Mus musculus: one gene and its partners. The protein of the gene in region 3 interacts with the protein of the main gene of each other region in a pairwise test. Links are inferred from orthologs where the notes say so. Each region holds a gene or a part of one and is shown on either strand. Other genes may lie near its edges. The genes, in order: Stx11, Ushbp1 and Cchcr1.

Region 1 (3,649 bases), on a different chromosome or scaffold from region 3:
TCATCAAACAATGGCACACAGCAAAAACTGCTCTTGTTGTTTATATACAGAATTTCCAAAAGCAAAGTCAATCTAATTGGCCATTAATGTACACATAGGAATGGAGATTAGTTTACAATTACACCCATATTCATATGAAATGAAGTACAAAGATAAATTTTAAATAAATGTTATCTGTGAAAAATCCATAAAATGTGACCAATATAAAGCTCAACTTGAGTGCTTGTTCAATATTTGGTGCTTTAAAAATATTCATATATAAGCTGGTGGACGATATAAAAGGTGAGAGAGGTAAGGAGCCAGTGTCCAGTGAGGGTTACTGTGTAGTGGGAGCGAGCCAAGGGAAGGAGTTCACGCAGGGCTCACACAACATAAATAATCAGAAGTGAATGGCAGCCAATTTACCCAAGGTCAAAGTTCCACGAAAATGAACAGACGTAATGAATACTGAAGTGAATGTCATTCAAAACCATATAGCACCAAGGAACTTTCCAGAGAGGATAAACAAAGGCAACTTTTGATAATGTACTCATACTATTAGCATCCTGTTCTCTTGGCTTCCTCCTTTCAAGACACACATCTTAGCAAATGACCTTAGTTCCTCCCCGTGATGCTGAGTGCTATGTATTTTATAATGACATCACACAACGCCAGTGGAAATCTGTCTACATTAAGTAGCCATTGGATATTAACAACTATTCCTTGAAGGCAGCAGGTGCCGGACTCCAAATCTTGCATCCCAACCCCCACTTTCTCTATGCTCTGAATTCTGCAAGGTATTGGGACCCTCTCCCTCGGCCCAGTGCAAGATGCCTTTGGCTGGGCATCCTGGACATGTTTCCCACATGGCACGTGCAGTGGAGACTCAAGCCAGCGGCTAGTTGACACAGGGACAACAGAAGCAGCAGATGGTCCTGCAGGGGTTCTTCTTCTTGTACTGCACCGCCTTGCGCACCTGCGCCTTGGCCTCGCCCGTGTAATCGAGGGTCTTCTGCACGTTAAGCTCGATGACGTTCAGCGTGTCCTCCTGCTTCTCCACTAGCACGGCCATCTGTAGGAAGAGCTCGTGCACATCGCGAATGCGACCCTCCAGGCGCAGGAGCTCGCGGTGGCGGCTCTCGATCTCGTTGAGCGCAGCCCGCGCGCCCTTCAAGTCGGCCAGCAGGTTCTCGGAGAATACATCCCACTTGCCCTGCTCGAACATGTCCTCAATCTGCTCGCCCGACATGTCCTTGCCCATGATCTCCAGCTGCCGCTGGATGCGGATCTTGCAGTTGTCGCGCTGTTTCATCTCGGCCTGGTTGTACTCGTACATGGCTTGCTGGAAAGCGCGGGCCAGCGCGCTGTACTGCGCGTGTGAGATGCGAGCCACCGCCGAGTGCGCGCCGTGCCGGGCCTCGGCCTGCTCGCTCAGCTCCTTCATGGAGCGCAGCTTCTGGTGGATGCCTTCGCCTCGGGTCTTGATGGCCTTGGCGATGGAGTTGGTGTCGCGCTTAATGCTGCTGAGGCGCCGCATGGACGTGAGGAAGCGGACGTTCTGCCTCCCCAGGCGCCTCACGTCTATCAGAAGCAGCTGGTTTTCATCCTGGATGTCCTGGATGACCCTGTACAAGGACTCCAGGATGTGGTCGGTCTCGAACACTATGTCCTCCCGAGGAGCGTCAAAGTCATTGTCCCCATCTGGGAATTGCTGGTCATAGCTCCTGGACAATTCTTGAAGCTCTGCAAGCCGATCCTTCATTTTGCCTACAAAAGAAACAGCAGTTAGGATCCTTTAATGATGGTCAGATCTGTGCATTCAGAGGGGTTGAAGCTCAATGTAAGGAGCTTGCTCTTAATTCCTTTTCCGTGTGGGCATTAAAGCGGCAAAATGCCCTGTGACATTTTATTTAGAAGTAAAGAAATACCGTGACTCAGACCCTTAGTTATGTTTCACAGCCTCTACACGTCTGCAGTTCAATATCACGGGCACCCCCAATTCAATCAGCAATTTAAACTTTTAGATTGCTTTGGGAAACAATTTCTTTTGTTTGCTTTTTGTTTCTCCACCATGAAATTAGGCACACAGACACAAGGAAAAAAACTCAAAAAGGTTTGTAAACTTTTCAATAAAGGCAGCTTACAAGACTTTGAAAAAGACATTAAATGCTCTGTATTTTGTGGCCAATTGTCACTAGTAAATATATTCTCTTGTACTTAGTACAACTTTTAGCCTATGTGGTGGCCAAACCTTTAATCTCAGTACTACAGAGGCACAGGCAGGTGGCTATCAGTAAGTTGGAGGCTAGCCTGGTCTACACAATGAGTTCTTACAGGCCTGGGGCTAGGGCTAGGGCACTTAAGATGAGGTTCTGCTCTTGCTGAGGATCTGTTTAGTTCTGAGCACTCATGTGTGCCGCACTAACCAGCCAGTCTAACCAAATCAGGGAGTGTTAGCTTCAGCGAGCACTCACAACTGCCTGTGACTCCAGGTGATCCAATACCTTCTTCTGGGCATCATGGTCACCTGCACTCACGTGCACATACCCAAAGACAGACAGACAGACAGACAGACAGACAGACAGACAGACACACACACACACACACACACACACACACACACACACACACGAAACTAACAAAAGATGAAAGGAAAAACCCCTTTATCAAGAGCTGAGCATGGTGGTATGTGCCTTTGGTCCAAAGGCAAAGACTGGCAGATTTTTGTAAACTTGAGGCAAGCCTGGTTTACATAGTAAGTTCCATACTAGCCAGGGATGCTGTGTCAAAGTAAATAAGCAAATAAACGAACAAAGGAATAAAGCAAATGCTGTAAGGCTGCTGAGGAGATGGCTCGCAGAACCCTGATCCCTAAGCACCTGTTATTATAAGCCAGATGTGGCAGGGTACACGGGTGATCCCAGCCCTGGGGTTACACAGACAGGAGGTCAGCCAGTCTCACAAAACCAGGGAGCTCTAGCTTCAGCAATAGACTCTGTCTCAAAAAAAAAAAAAAAAAGGTGGAGAGTGACTGAGGAAGACATGTATACACTCATATATATATATGTGTGTGTGTGTGTGTGTGTGTATACATATACATATACACATACACATACACATACACATACACATACACATACACATACACATACACATACATATACATATACTCATATATACTCATATACTCCCACACAGGCACACAGGCACAGGAACACACAGGCACACGAACAAATGCTTTGAAGCAAAATAACAACAAAATAAAGGCAACTGTAGTACGGTGTTACAAACCAAAACTTGGACACTGAAGTCCGTTGCAAAGGTGCGTAGCTGTGGTTTGAGCTGCTGGGGACGCTGAGGCAGGATGAGCAGCTGGACCCTGGGAGTTCTAGTACATCGGCAGAGATCCAGGAATGACGTCAATGCACAAAAAGCTACAACGGTCACAGCGTCTAGAAGGCCATCTAATGACATGAAGATCCCGCATGCTCTCTCAGGTAGGAAAGAGAGCTACAGAGAAAGAATTGCAGCAGCCCCACATGATTGTCTGAATCAGATGTGAGCAAGATGCATCAAAATGTTGAATAACGATTTTCCTAGAGTTATTGGATAACAGGCAACCGTTGCTAATACTTGCTTTTGCTATGTGTTTCCATAATTCTGTGAGATC
Region 2 (3,703 bases), on a different chromosome or scaffold from region 3:
GCGGGGCCGTTTGATGATTGACGGGGTAGGACTTGGCTTGGACTTGCCAAAGGCCTTCTCAGTTACTTATGTAACTTAGGTTGGCATTCATTCACTAGTACCTTGATGAGGACTGGTGGTGCACACCTGTCATCCCAACACTCCAGAGACCCGGAGACGAAGATCGGGCGTTTAGACCAGGCTGGGCTAAATGAGACGCTGTATAAAAACTAAAATGTAAAGAAAAAGTAAAGAAGGCAGCAGACACACTGTGGACAAGCTTATTGTTGCCAGTGCCTCCAACCGCCTGATGCAGCAGTTCAGACTCATTGAAGAGAAACGTTGTGGGCTACTGAGCAGGTGCAGGCTCTTGCCACCAATCCTGAGGGGCCTGAGTTCGATCTCGGAGACAAGTAGGACCACCACAGACAAAGATGAGTAAAGCAAAGTAATGAAAAATAAAAGCTGTGCAAATGCTGAAGCCAACTCCTACAGTTTTGGTTTTTTTTTGGTTTTAGAAACACACACACACACACACACACACACACACACACACACACACACACACAAAGACCTTCACATTAGAGCGAGTCCTGGTGAACAGGGGACACAAAAAATCCAAAATGAAAATGGAAGGTTTGGCCTCGGGTAAGGGGATACTGATATCTTTAGAGCGGGACAAAGGTCCTGGTCCTCCATCCTCCTCCCGTTCTGGAGGAAGCCGGCATCCTGGAGAAGGAAACGAAACAATAACTGTCCATGTGATCAGGGTAGGGGGGCTTCCTGTTTCCCAGCCCCTCCCGGGCCACTTTTGGCTATCGCAGCCTCAGTAGCCAGTGGCCAGAATGGCTTGAGATATGCCCTGGATCTCAGGCCTTTCCCAAGGTGCTCTGGAGAAGCAGAGAAGAGCGCAGCAGGGTCAACCCCCAGGGTGAGGGAGTTTGATGCTAAGAGCCGTAGGAAGAAAGAGGATTTTAGGGTCCCTACCCAATGCTTCTATGGGGGGTGGGGCACAGATAAGAGAAACGCCTTCAGACAGCTGAGGGGAGAAGAATGCCCAGTAGAGATGGGGGATGGGGGAGTAAGGAACAAGTAGATAGTTAGTGGGCACTATTGGAGAGGTATATGAATATTTAAATGTGTCAATCGGAGTAGACACCCCAAAAATCCTACAGGAAACAAAAAAACAAAAAACAAGGATTCTAAGGTGACGAAGGCAAGAACTGAAAGCAGACTGTAGTGACAGAGGCAATGAGTGCCCGGGCCACACGGCCCCGAAGCCGTCGAGGGAGGCATCCTCTGCCTGTAAGTGTGCCCCTCTTCCTGCCACACTCAGTCCCATGGATCCTGGGAACCCAGGCCTGCTAGGCTCAGAGCCCGTGGTGGTGTAGGGGAGTCCTCCACAGGTGGAGCTGGATATGATGGCCAAGAGACTGTGTGTGTGTGTTGGGGGGAAACGGGGTTCATTCACAGGGGGAGCTAGACCCTGTAGCTGAGAGCTCAGAGGAAGTAGATGCCAACAATGGACGCTTCGAGACTAAACCTGAGCTGCATCAGGAATACCTTGGTCCTGGCCTTCAGAGCCCAAGGAACTGGTAGGATGCATTTAGTATGTACCCTATATTCTAGCCCAACACCCCAACACCCCCCCTGCACAAAGCTGCCTCCTGCCACTCACCTGCCCATTGCCTCTGCTGCCTGCCTCTCTCCTCTTCCTGTTTATCCTCCAGCCATGCCGCTCATTCCCTACTCTACCTTCCTAGCGACCCTAGGGTTAGCCCTCCAGGTCTCTTCTGAGCCTCAGGTGGCTGGGGTTCCCCCACTATCTTCACAGGATCAAGGAGGGTTGTGATGTGGGATCCCATGCGGTTCTATCCTTGAGCCCAGAAGAACAGTGCGAGCCTGAGGTGGAAGCCCACCAGGTCCTGCAAGAAGCCCCCCTGGATAGTGGCCCTGCTGAGATATCAGTACCCAGTGTGTATGAGACCTTGCAGTGCAGGCTGAGCTCCCTTGAGGCAGTTGTAGCTGCCTTGCGCCACCACTCGCTAAGCTTTCCAAAGTCAGTGGAAGCAGAAGACAGAGACCAGGGGGCTCCGGGGCCCTTTGGTGATGAGAAAGAAGACGCAGGACCTGGACAGCAGGAGGCTGCTCGCCTCATAGAGAGGAACGCCTGGCTGCGGCTAGCCCTGTGCAACCGGGAGGATGAGCTGGCATGCACTCAGGCTTCACTGCAGGACGCCCAGGCAGAGAAGGAGACTCTGCAGAGACAGGTAAGCTGGTGACTGGGGAAGAGGCAGATCCAGCCTTGGGAGCAGACACACTGATGTGGAACAGTGACAGATGTGCCAAGGAAGTGACCAACAGAGACAGCACAGTGAGAGGGAGAGCAAGGAAGACAGGCAGGCTGCACCCCATGATCTTAACACTCAGGAAGTCCAAGAGGGACAGTCTCCACTCAGGTGAGCCCTGGCTAAGACCAACTTTGTTCTCAGCTGTAGACTGAGTCCAAGGCTAGCCTGGATTACAGACCCTACCTATGTCAGTTGCACTACACACACACACAAACACACACACTAATCCTGTCTTGGGGGGTGTTTTTTATTTTTCGTTTTTTCGGATACAGAATTTCTCTGTGTAACAGAGCCCTGGCTGTCCTGAACTTACTAGGGTAGACTAGGGTGGCCTCAAAATCACAGAGATCCACCTGCCTCTGCTTTCCCAGTGCTGGGATTAAAGGTGTGAGCTATGCCAGACTTATTTTAGGGTTTCTATTGCTGTAATAAAACACCTCAACCAAAAGCAACTGGGGAGGAAGAGATTTATTTCATCTTAAGACTCTCAGGCCACACTCCATCACTGAGGGAAGCTCGGGCAGGAACCTCAAGGCATGGAGGGATGCTGCTTACTGGCTTGCTCCCTATGGCTTGCTCAGCCTGCTTTCTTATAGAACCAGGACCAACAGCCCAGGGATGGCACCACCCACAATGGGCTGGCCCCTCCCTCCCCATCAATTGTCAATCAGAAAAGTGTCCACAGGTCCATTTCGGGGAGCATTTTCTCAATTGTGGTCCCTCTTCCAAAATGATTCCAGTTGATGTCAAGTTCACACGAACCACCACAGATCCTGAGATCACTGTGGCTGGAACAGAGTGGGAGAGATGAAGGCGCGTGGGGGAAGGCCACAGTATGCAGGGTGTTGAAAGCTAGTGTGCTCTGGTGTGTGGTGGATTCTGAGGGGAACTGACCTGCTGCAGGCGTTCACTTGTGCCATCTGATGACTGTGAGCGGAACAGTCTGGCGGTGGACCATAATCCTGAAGGTGGAGGAGGGGTGAAGTGGCCCGGGGCGTTTAGTGGAGGTGACCAGAAACCTACAGATTATGGGTGATGTTAAACCCAGATATGGTGGGACAAGCCTGTAATGATAAGGACTTCAGAGGCTCAGATGAGAGGATCACAGTTTAACACTAGCTTTGACGAGATAGGCAAATGTCTCAAAACAAAACTAGGACAAGTAGGGATACAGAATCCTCCAGTCAGGGCTGTGGGCGTGACTGGGGGGGGTAGAGTGACAGCCTAGAATCCTCCAATGAGGGGCTAGGGGCGTGGCTTAGCACAGCTTTCAGAGACTTCTCACAACAACAAAAATGAATTCTCCTGAATGTAGTGGGCACACTTGAAATCTCAACTACTTGGGAGGCTGAAGTGGGGGGTGGCTTCAGTTG
Region 3 (3,649 bases):
CAATGGTGGCACATAACTTTAATCCCAGCACTCGGGAGGCAAAGGCAGATGGATTTCTGAGTTCCAGGCCAGCCTGATCTACAAAGTGAGTTCCAGGACAGCCAGGGCTACACAGAGAAACCCTGTCTCAAAACAACAACAACAACAACAAAAAAGTGCTGGGATTAAAGGTGTGCGCCACCATGCCAGACTGACAGGGTCTTTTATTGACCCGCAACTTTATCATGTAGGCCAGACCAGGAGCTTCAGGGATCTGCCCGTGTCTCCTTCCATCCCACAGAGCAGGGGTGATTACAGGTGTATGCTGGCCTGTCTAGGTTTTTCACAAAGGTTTTGGGGCTCCTAACTCAAGTCTCTACAGCCTGAAAGACTCAGGCATGAGGTGGGGTCCTTTACTCTCGCTGTTAGCATGAACACGGAGAGACCGGGAAGTGAACTGGCAGGAGCTGATGTTTAAAACTAACTGTGGAGAACCAGAGGCCAAGATTTCCTCCATTGCTTACAGCAGCATGATCAGTTAGATGGCTCTCTGAGAGACAAGGCCCCAAGGTGGGGTGAGCCGCCCTGCCCCCTGAAGATTTATTTATGCTTGTGAGTGTGTGTTGTGTCAGTGAGTGTATACCACATGTGTGAGGGCCTCAGAGGCCAGAAGAGGACATTGGATCCTCTGAACTGCGCGTTGGGTGCTGGGAACTGAGCTTGGGTCTGCCCTGCTGAGCTCTCCAGCCCCTCAGGCTGGCCCTCTCTGAGCATGCTCCTCCTCCACAGCTGTCCTCCCTGACACAGGCTCACCAGAAGGCTCTCGACAGTCTGGCCAGCAAGGCCGAGGGCTTGGAGAAGTCTCTGAATAGCCTGGAAACGAAACGGGCAGGGGAAGCCAAGCAGCTGGCTATGGCCCAGAAGGAGGCGGACATGCTCAGGAACCAGCTGAGGTCAGTGGGCTGCGCAGGGCTGTTAGTGAGGGGTGCGGCATTGCCAGGCTGTTCTACCGAGGACTGGTCCATTTCTGTTTCAATCTTAGCAAGACCCAAGAAGAGCTGGAAGCTCAGGTGACCTTGGTGGAGAGTCTGAGGAAGTATGTGGGGGAACAAGTTCTTCCTGAGTTTCCTAGCCAGGAATGGGAGCTGGAACGAAAGGAGCTTCTAGACACCTTGAAGGTGAGAGAAAAGACTCCAGGGATCAGGGCATGACCTGGGAGGAGAGAGCACAGTGCCCTAGAGGGGAAGCCATGCTGCCCTTGAGACGGCTCACAGCCTGAGGTAGCATGGAGATCCTGACTGGTGGAGTTCCTTCTCCCAGCACTTGAAGGAGGATCGGGCTGACCTTCAGGCCACCGTGGAGTTACTGCAGGTACGAGTACAGAGCCTCACACACATGCTCGCCCTGCAGGAAGAGGAGCTGACCAGGAAGGTAGGACCCTCCCTCATCTTCCAGACCCTGCCCTGCTGCAGGCCTTCCCTTTCTGGGGGTAGTGGGTGGTATGCCACCAAGACCCCTAAACTCCTCACTGTGGACGGCAGGACAGGCAGGACAAAGGTCCCCACTTTCTTAGAACATCCATCTCCCTTCTTCCCCCGTACAGATTCAGCCTTTAGATCCCTTGGAACCCGAGTTTCCTAAGAAGTGCCGCTCGCTGCTGCGCAACTGGCGGGAGAAGGTATTTGCCCTCATGGTGCAGCTCAAAGCCCAGGACCTGCAGCACAGGGACTCCACGTCGCAGCTGAGGATCCAGGTCAGGGGCTGCGTCTCTGTCACTGTCATCCCGCACCCCGTGTCTCTCACAGTGATGACAGTTAGTCTCGGGGTGACTGCCACGTGCAGGGCACAGAGCCCCGAGCCGAGGAGTCCCCGTTCTCACGGAGCTTGAGTTCTAGAAGGATACGTAAAAAGATGGGTAGGCGTCACATTGTCATAAGTGCTGCGGAAAAGCAGTGGTGACAGACTGAGGTGGATGGATAGGATGGTCAGGGACGGCCTCTGAGGCCACAACGTCCACCAGGGCATGGCCACGGGCACGGTCAGGGGAAGGCTTGGGTCAGGAGGGTTTCCCAAAGTGTGGGCTTGTGCATCCTGAGTCGGAGAGAAGGTTCAAGACAGAGTTTCTATGTTCTGTGGCTGCCCTGGAACTCACTCTGTAGACTGTTCTGACCTATAAGTGATTGCCTGTCTCTCCCTCATGCTGGAATTAAAGACACGCCCCACCACACCGGGTTTTTTATTTTCTTTTTGTTTTTTTAGTACTTATTAATTTAGTTGGGTGTGGTGATACACTTCAATTCCAGCACTTAGGAGGCAGAGGCCGAGGCAGGAGGATCTCTGAATCTGTGGCCAGCCTGGTCTACATAGTCAGTTCCAGGACAGCCAGGGCTACATAGTGAAACCCTGTCTTAGAAAGAAATAAAAGGTGTGCTTATTTTGTTTTGTGTGTATAAATGTTTTGCCTGCGTGTATGTATGTGTACCATGTGCCCACGGAAGTCAGAAGGTGTTTGCTCTCCGAGAACTGGAGTTACAGATGGTTATGAGCTATCATGTGGGAAAGGGGAATGGAACTCTGCAGGAACAACCAGCGTTCTTAGCCACTGGGCCGTCTCTGCAGCCCGACTCCGGAGACTCCCGCCCTGTCTCCTTCATTCCCCTCCCACCCGTGTTCCCATAGCTTTGGCTCTCCATTTCCTTGCTTAGCTCCTTCTGCTTCCGTAGGTAGCAGAGCTCCAGGAGCAAGTGACCTCCCAAAGCCAGGAGCAGGCCATCTTGCAGCGTGCCCTGCAAGACAAAACTGCACAGGTGGAGGTGGAGCGGATGAGCACCAAGGTCTGAGGGTGCTCCCTAAGGGAGGAGGGTGAAGAAGACCCTAGCCCGGGTGTGTGGGCCACGTGCCAGGGAGGGAGGTCTACAAGAAAAAGTACACACAAAGCTGCATCCTTCCCAGAGCCTGCAGATGGAGCTGGATCAGGCTCAGGAGGCCAGGCGGAGGCAGGAACAGCAGATAGCCTCTGCTGAAGAGCAGTTGAAGTTCGTGGTCGGTGCTATGAACAGGTATCTGTTGCCTGGAAGAGCCTCGGGGAAGAGGGGCAGGAGGGTGCAGGGTGGAGGGGTGTCACCTCTGTATCACACCAGCATCACCCGCAGTGAACTGAGCTGTGGTTGGGCCACAGCAGAGGATCCTGCTTCCTGCACTTCAGTCTAGTGCGCTCTGAAGCTAAGTAGGACAGCTAGGCGGGGCTGTGGCTTCAGAGCTCAGGGATGGGAACTGGAGCCATGTGCAGTCCTTCCTCCCTCTCTTCCTCCTTCCTTCCTTTGCACACTCGCCTGGTCTGGCTGGGGGAGGCACCCTAATTGTACAGCTGGTCTGGTCTGTAGCTCAGTAGTAGAGCGCTTGCCTAGCATTCAGGTATCTCTGCTTTCAATCCCTGGCACCAGAATAAAAAGATGAAACTTTTTAACTTGCACAGAGTCAGACTAGTTTGGAAGAACCAACTAGTTTGGAAGATTCAAAGCACTGCATGTGCCTGCCTCCAGGAGGGTGTTGGGGTGTTGCTTATGGGGTACCTGCCTCCAGCAGGATGTTGGGGTATGGTGTATGGGGTGCCTGCCTCCAGGAGGGTGTTGGAGTGTTGTATATGGGGTGCCTGCCTCCAGGAGGGCGT

What was found.
Region 1: the proteins of Cchcr1 (region 3) and Stx11 interact in binary tests that used the Homo sapiens proteins (3 or more experiments, as listed by UniProt). The link is inferred for Mus musculus from reciprocal best matches to the Homo sapiens genes CCHCR1 and STX11.
Region 2: the proteins of Cchcr1 (region 3) and Ushbp1 interact in binary tests that used the Homo sapiens proteins (3 or more experiments, as listed by UniProt). The link is inferred for Mus musculus from reciprocal best matches to the Homo sapiens genes CCHCR1 and USHBP1.

Annotation. Positions count from the first base shown.
Region 1 is NC_000076.6:12,940,238-12,943,886, forward strand, and holds part of Stx11 (syntaxin-11), read right to left. Parts: intron 3,490-3,649; exon of another isoform or gene 3,271-3,489; intron 1,747-3,270; 5' UTR 1,742-1,746; coding exon 878-1,741; 3' UTR 1-877. UniProt on the Homo sapiens protein: SNARE that acts to regulate protein transport between late endosomes and the trans-Golgi network.
Region 2 is NC_000074.6:71,392,921-71,396,623, reverse strand, and holds the start of Ushbp1 (Usher syndrome type-1C protein-binding protein 1), read left to right. Parts: upstream 1-822; 5' UTR 823-910; intron 911-1,154; 5' UTR 1,155-1,230; coding exon 1,231-1,284; intron 1,285-1,452; coding exon 1,453-1,574; intron 1,575-1,813; coding exon 1,814-2,249; intron 2,250-3,703.
Region 3 is NC_000083.6:35,523,678-35,527,326, forward strand, and holds part of Cchcr1 (coiled-coil alpha-helical rod protein 1), read left to right. Parts: intron 1-768; coding exon 769-932; intron 933-1,021; coding exon 1,022-1,157; intron 1,158-1,299; coding exon 1,300-1,410; intron 1,411-1,582; coding exon 1,583-1,732; intron 1,733-2,702; coding exon 2,703-2,813; intron 2,814-2,931; coding exon 2,932-3,038; intron 3,039-3,649. UniProt on the Homo sapiens protein: May be a regulator of keratinocyte proliferation or differentiation.